Nothobranchius furzeri: one gene and its partner. The protein of the gene in region 2 interacts with the protein of the main gene of each other region in a pairwise test. Links are inferred from orthologs where the notes say so. Each region holds a gene or a part of one and is shown on either strand. Other genes may lie near its edges. The genes, in order: frk and bnip2.

Evidence for each region.
Region 1: the proteins of bnip2 (region 2) and frk interact in binary tests that used the Homo sapiens proteins (3 or more experiments, as listed by UniProt). The two-hybrid records come from large-scale screens. The link is inferred for Nothobranchius furzeri from reciprocal best matches to the Homo sapiens genes BNIP2 and FRK.

The regions. Positions count from the first base shown.
Region 1 is NC_091743.1:89,682,475-89,686,296, reverse strand, and holds part of frk (tyrosine-protein kinase FRK), read right to left. Parts: intron 896-3,822; coding exon 774-895; intron 1-773. UniProt on the Homo sapiens protein: Non-receptor tyrosine-protein kinase that negatively regulates cell proliferation.
Region 2 is NC_091744.1:67,577,633-67,581,454, forward strand, and holds part of bnip2 (BCL2/adenovirus E1B 19 kDa protein-interacting protein 2), read right to left. Parts: intron 3,820-3,822; coding exon 3,643-3,819; intron 1,530-3,642; coding exon 1,347-1,529; intron 1,268-1,346; coding exon 1,165-1,267; intron 1,095-1,164; coding exon 963-1,094; intron 857-962; coding exon 770-856; intron 697-769; coding exon 598-696; intron 1-597.

The DNA of each region.
Region 1 (3,822 bases), on a different chromosome or scaffold from region 2:
CACCGTTATGTCATCCATTCATCCACCTTCATCCACCGCCAGCACCTCATGTTGCAGCATGATAACAAACGGCCCCATTTTACAAGGATCTGTACACATTTCTGGAAGCTAAAAACATCCCAGTTCTTGCATGGCCAGCATACTCACCAGACATGTCACCCATTTGGGATGCTCTGGATCAGTGTATACGACAACGTGTTCCAGTTCCTGCCAATATTAAGCTACTTCTCATAGCTATTGAGGAGTGGACCAACATCCCATAGGACACAATCAACAACCGGATCAACTCTATGCGACGGAGATGTGTTGCTCTGCATGGGGCAAACGGTGGCCACATCAGTTATTGGTTTTCTGCCCCACCACCCCCCATAAAGCAAAACCGAGCACATTTCAGAGTGGCCTTTTGTTGTGGGCAGTCTAAGGCACACCTGTACATTATTCATGCTGTCTAATCAGCTCCTTGATATGCCAAACCTGTGAGGTGGGATGGATTATCTTGGTAAAGGAAAAGTGCTCACTAGCACGCATCTAGACAGATTTCAGAACAATAATTGTGTCATGGGTCGTTTGTGTATAGAGACAAATTTTCAGATGTTTGAGTTCAACTCATGAAAAATGGGAGCAAAACCAAAAATGTTGCATTCATATATTTGTTCAGTGTACTTCACGATGGCAGTGACTTCCCTGCCTTCTCTGACTGCATCAATGCTGGGGGTCACAGGAACCAGACTGGTGGACTCGATCTGTTAACAGTTGCCGCTTCCTTTGCTCACCTGAGAGAGAGAGCTCTCCTTTCCGACCTTCGGAGTTTCTGATGAGGAAAGCACCAGACTGGTTCCACTTAGCCAACAGCATCTTCTCTGCATCCAGCCTTTTGGTGTCCGAAAAATACCACCTGCATTTCAAAATTCATTCATTTAATGTAATGTGGTTTAAAGAAATACAAGGAGAAAAAAAATGCACCAGCAACCAGAATAAAACACCTTATGCAGCTTTATGCAGCAGTTTAACAGCCAACCATTTAGTCCCCAAGTGTTTAACACACAGCATCTTTTAATACGGAAGAAAATCCGATTAAAATCATTCAAGCCAAGTTTGCTCAAAAGCCTCACAAACCAGGCGACTATGGATTTTGAACTCCAGTTTGTTCCATGAGCGGGGGGATTTCAGAAAGCGAGATCAGAACATCAGGGATCTCCTGATAAATACCTGCTTGACAACGCGCTCTCCTTCTCTCCCAGTTGGGCCAGCTCCACGAAAGATTCTCAGGTTGATTCAATCCCCTCTTACCCCCAAATTCCACTACCTCCGCTCCGCTCCGACACGAACGCCGGAACAAAATCGGTCCCGTTGTAGTCAATCAGAGCAATTCCACTACTGCGGCCGTGCTCCGGCAGTGCGGCGCCGTGCGCTGCCCTCTGTTCCGGCGTCCGGCAAAAATAGAATCGATCCTATTTTCGCCGGACGCCGGAGCACCTCCGCAGTAAATGGACAGAAATAACAACTGCCCAACAGGAAAAGGAGCAAGCACAACTTCCGTTTTTCACAATAAATCGATAAACAAAAGGCGTTTTTTGTTTCATATGCACAGGTTTAACAACTTTTAACAACTATCAATGGCGGCTGAAGTTTAAATGCACAAAAGTAAGCCATAAATACAGTTTCCACTATCAAAGTAGTCACACTTTGTTGATCCAAACACTGCTGATCTCTCAACACACATGATGGGCAGATTCAACAGTTCATGCCGATGCTTCTCCCACACAACGGGTGTTTGGATCTAACTTCCGCGTTTATTGCTCGGACTGTATCGCAAGATCTCTAATATCCCGCGCATGCTTGTTTGCGCACCTCAGGTCTCCGCACCGGAGCGGAGCCGTTGTAGAGCGGAAGCGAGCGGCTGCAGAAGGCGGGGGCGGACCGCAGCGGAGGTAGTGGAATTTGGGGGTAATCCATGCAAGGTGGGGCAAGCTAGGACAATGTGTGTCCAAAGGCAGCCCCTGTTAATCAATGCTAGATAAATGAGAATAGAAGGACAGAGCCTCGATCTTCATTCAGACGGAGTAATAATTAATTGTTCATTCATGCCTATGAGGACTACAAAGATATCAGAACTAAATAATAAGAGCATGAGCCATTTGATTGAAGCTGTGAAGCCGGCGCTATTGAGTCAGAACGCGCAGCGTTTACATGTTTCCATGGGTATGCTTCAGCCCGTTTTTCCGCATATTTTATTCAAGTTCATCATTTGTGTCGTTTTCATGTTCGGTTCCAGAGTCTGGATGTTTGGACACTGAAGGACTTTGTTTTCGCTGAGCAGCAGTGAGTTTTAAGACTATACGTTTGTGGAGGTCATGTGACCCTAAAGTTAGCTCTGGAAACTGCATGTTAATTACATGGGTCCATCCCAGACAAAAGTTAATAATTATACATATTAAAAATGCTGAAATCAGGAGCATCAGTGGAATTAAATGCTCGTAGCTTCTAGGGGCTGCACGACTTAATTTTCATTAAAGTCGACTGTCAAGTAATCAAAATAGAGTTGACTTTGACTAGTGGTTGATGACGTCATACACCTGAAGCGCCGCGGGGGGGGGGGGGGGGGGGGGGGGTCGCTGGAGTTTGACAATTAAAATTGCGCCCACATTTTCAAAGTTAAACACATCTTTTAACAGCGGTAGTTTCTGCATCTATACTGCTCCACTTCAGCTCGCTCCCCCCTCCCCATGCGCAGTGCACCTGCAGCCTCTCGGAGTTCCTGCTGCTCTAAACATTAAAATAATTATTTCATTTTCTGTTCCTCACTTCTGATTACCTTCAATGGTGTCTGTTTGTTGCAACCAGCAGGTACAAAAACTAACTTGTTTTTATTTGACTATTTTTCTGTCCTGCCTGTTTATTATCTTCCTGCATCTCCTCTCAGTCCTAAAGAGAAACTGCTACCTGGGTTCATATATATTCACCTCATGAGTTACCTTTGAACTGCAGTTCTAAAAGATCTACCGACCGCAAAAACAGCGGAGTGCGCGCTGCTCGCCGACCGCATCAGTGAGGTGAAGTTATTGGAGGACAAAACAGGTGATGCGCCCCGCTACACAGCAGGGAAACGCATCAGGCACAAATAAAAGACAGAAAACATCAAAGGAAATGAGCCGACATGAACGATCGCGTGTTAAATTAGTTTTTGAGGTGGCGACACCTGATTTGATGTTACTGTGGCCGTGCTCAGGACGCAGACGTCTCGAGCGCGTCAACGTTCAGAGCTTTGCATGCGCAAGCTGGTTAAGGTTAGGATGGGGGTGAGGGGAAGGTTAAATTGCAAGAGGGTAAAGGTCACAATTTGGTTAAATGTCTGTTTTACGGCGGGCGTCAGTACCGACGCTCTGGCACAGCGCGTTGCCTCCTGATGCACAGCTCGTCACCTGCTGTCTTTTCCGAGGACTGCATCTTGTCGCTCATTATCACGTGACAGCGACTAGTCGCTGAAAGGCATAAAAAGTCACTACAGAGCAGTGAAGTCGACTAGTCGACTAGTTCATACAACCCCTACTAGCTGCAAATGAAGATCAAATACAACATTTTTAAGGTAATCCTTCTCACATATAAAGCTCTTAATAATCAAGCTCCATCATACATCAGTGACCTGATTGTTCCACAGTTCCTAACCGAGCACTTCGCTCTCAGACTGCCGGTTTCCTGGTGGTTCCCAGAATATCCAAAAAAATAGGATGGGAGGCAGATCCTTTAGCTATCAGGCTCCTCTCTTGTGGAACCAACTCTCAGCTTTAGCCCATTAGACAGACACCTCATCTATTTGTAAGA
Region 2 (3,822 bases):
GACAGGTGGTCCACTCAGATCTTAGGGTTAAGGGTCACTCTTTTCAGAAAAAGAATGTTTAGATTTTAGAAAAAGAAGGTTGCTGGTTTGAGAGGCTTTGCTAAAGCACACAAAAAAACCAAACATAAGGTTTCAGCTTTCCCATTTTGATCCGATTTTAATCCTCGGACACTTTGACAGCAATCTTCTCCTTCAGACAAGTGGTCGAAGCATCTCAGATACAAGCCAGGTCAGCAGAGGTCCCAATGACAGTCAGGATGGAGAACAGGGGAGAACTTTACTTGAATGTAAATGCTCTGCACTTTGGTTTGAAATTCTCTCAGAGGTGAATCATCCTCAACAATCAAGACAACAGATGAGTTCAGGTTGTTACTTTAAACATGATGTGAATTCTGCTCGTGTTTCATTTGAAAATGCAAACACAGCACAGCTTCCAAGAGTAAAATAAAGATGGAAGAGTGTAAAATACAAAAATGATTAACGTCTTTGCTTGAGTAGATTCCAATCTACTATAAATAATGTAACTAAATACCCGTTACAGCTGTGACTTTAGCTTGCAGACCTTCAGACACGTTAGCAGCGCTCCAACGTACTTACTGTTTGATACAATCTGGTATGGACACATACTCCATTGGAACGAGCTCAGCGAGGTCCGTCAGGCTAAACACAAACTGGATTTTCTGGCTAAACTTGGAGCTGTAAAAGAAAAGCAGAAAATGATTAAACAAATATAAATAATTGTGTTTACCACCCTGAACATTTCTGATACCTTATGAAAGGTTTTGTGAGAGCCAGCAGGGTCCGAATAAACCAAGAAGGGTGCACGATTATCAACGACTTCAAGTTCTTCCGTAACCTGTGTTTGAAAGAAAAATAATGAGTAAATAATGGCTCAAAGTCTCAGGTTTTCTACTTTAGTCGAAGCTTTACTTGATTAGAAGGATGAGACGATGTCGACTCACCTCCTATCGATCTGCTGATAACACTTTCGGAGCCAGCCGACCGTCGGCATCTTCTTACGAGAAGTCGCCCCGTTTAAATAAACAATCATATAATTCTCAGCCACCAGCAGCTCCAGAGTGCCAATGACGTATCTGAAACAGGAAACCGTCGTTAGCTTCACGCGTCATCGCTAAAGCACTAAAACGAGGCTAATGGGCTCACTTGAATAAATTGTCCATGATGTATCTGTAATTAGGTTGGTTGCTCTCAGGCATGAAGCACACGGCAAACACAATTATAGCATTCAAACCATCGCCATAGTAACCTGTAGAGAAAAACGCTAACATTATGACATGTTTAGAGTTTTTTTGTTTAGTGTGTGAACTACATGAAAAGGTGCTGACCCCCGTGACTGATTACTCTCTTGTAGGGCTCAATAGCCTTCATATCCACTCTGTGGTCCTGATCTCCAAAATGGAAAATCCTCCACCGTCGACCTTCTTCCCGCTCCTCTGATGCGGATAACTCCTGGACCGTCTCCACACCTTTCTGTAGCACTTCTGTGCTTTTGGGCTTGGGAAGATCATCTGAGGAAGAAAATACATTTTAAGCAAAAAGCTAAACACCCATAGCTCTTGTAATCCAGATCCGATCGTTTTTTAATCAAATATTCGCAGTTCAATCGGGCGCACTGAACAAATGATTGGTTTTGATCTTTTGCATCTCTGCAGCATGCTTTTCCCCAGATTAAAAACCAAAATTCACAATACGGCGTTCTTTCTTTGCGATTTTTAGAGAGAAAAGGCAAAAATCCTGTCGATTCACAATGAAAATCAAAGATGTTCTTTCACAACAAACCGCTTTTGTTTGTAAACGTAGAGCTGCATAGTTTCATAAAACTGATGTCATAACATCAACTGGGGTTGTATGAACTAGTCGACTAGTCGACTTCACGGCTCTGTAGTGACTTTTTATGCCTGTCATCGACTAGTCGCTGTCACATGATAATGACCGACAAGATGCAGTCCTTGGAAAAGACAGCAGGTGACGAGCCCATGCGCGTCGGGAGGCGACGCACTGGTATCAGACACCCGCCGTAAAACGGACATTTAACTAAATTGTGACCTTTACCATCTTACAATTTAACCTTCCCCTCACCACCATCCTAATCTTAACCAGCTTGTGCATGCAAAGCTCTGATCGTTGACGCGCTCCAGACATCTGCGTCCTGAGCACAGCCACAGTAACATCAGGTGTCGCCACCTGAAAAACAAATTTAACACGCAATCGTTTATGTCGGCTCATTTCCTTTTATGTTTTCTGTCTTTTATTTGTGCCTGATGCGAACCAACCGAACCCCAACCCCCCACCCCTTGCGCCGCTTCAGGTGTATGACGTCATCAACGACTAGTCAAATTAGACTCGATTTTCATTACTTGACTGTCGACTTTAAAAAAAATTAAGTCATGCAGCCCCAACATCAACAAAGTACTTAAGTGATCAGGTACTTCAAGCATGCAACGAGAGGAATCAAAACCAAAATTGTGAAAGCAAATCACACAACATGTTCTTTAAGCTAAGATTTCCTTTTCATTTTGAAAATACGCACTCATTTTATTACTAAAGTAAAAATGCCAAGACCACACAACAGATGGTTAAAGTAAAAACATCATTTTCCAAGCAATGCTGCGCTGTTTTTTATGCCACAGCAACAGCAAAAAAGTAGATTCCAGTTTTTTTTCCTTTCATTTCATGTTTGCAATATTAAATTAATTTTAATTTTTCACAAACATCAAAACAGCTGATTTATTAAACTGGTGACAAGGTGATACCATTTCCCCATGAACAGAAAAACTCCAAACAAATAATAATTAAAAATAATAATAATAATAACATATATATATATATATATGAAAGCAAAGTTGAATTAAGAGGAAGTAAGGAATGATGGGAAAAAAGGCATTTGTCTGAAAACATGATCGGACGACAGACGCTGATTGACTTGTGTTTTCCAAAAGATCAAACAAGAAGAAAGTCTGTCCAAGAGTCCTTACCCCACGGGGGAGAGAAACCTGCTGCTGGCTTGCAGCCTGTTTCCAGGCAGACAAAGGAAGCGGTTCTTCCAAGTGAAAAAGAAGAAGGCGGCAGAGTGGAAACACAAACACAACAAAGCATATTTAACCATACATGAGGCAGCAAACTGCCAAAGTAAACCTGTAAATCATCTAGAGGTGCAAGAACCAAGTTCAACAAATAAAAATGTGAAGCAGGGCGCTTCCTCAGGACCACAAAAGAGCCCCAACTTTTAAATCTAAATTCAAACTTTCATGTATTCATCAGCCTATGAATGACTGTTTATTATGCTGCACCGTAACTGCTCACCCTTTAACTTTTATCGGATTCTTAAATCTGAATTAAATTTGTGCATCTGATATTTTAATTATGCTGTTGTGTTGATTTAGCTGTTCATGCTCCTGGAAAGTGCCTCAATGTATGAAATGTGCTATATGGATAAAGATACCTGGCCTTCTCTTCTAACTGGACTCAGAGTGGGGAACCTTCAAGTATTTAGCTCACCTAAGGAGTGATGTCTTTACATATTTTGCTTTAACAGCAGAAACTAAAACAAAGCTAGATAAAACCACAGTTCCAGGGCCAAAGCAGATGTGGTATTTGTGTTTTCCGTGATATACTTCTTACCTTCCCATTCAAACTCATTGCTGTTGTCTGACGGCGTGTCGATGGCATCCAGATCCAACTCTGTGCTTTCCTCCAGCTCATCAGAGAGGATGGAGCCATCGCTGCGGTCAAGAGTCAGGCTGATGTCTGGAGCACTGAGTTTTTTCTTTGCCTTCTTGCTGTGGTTTGTTGCAAAGCCTA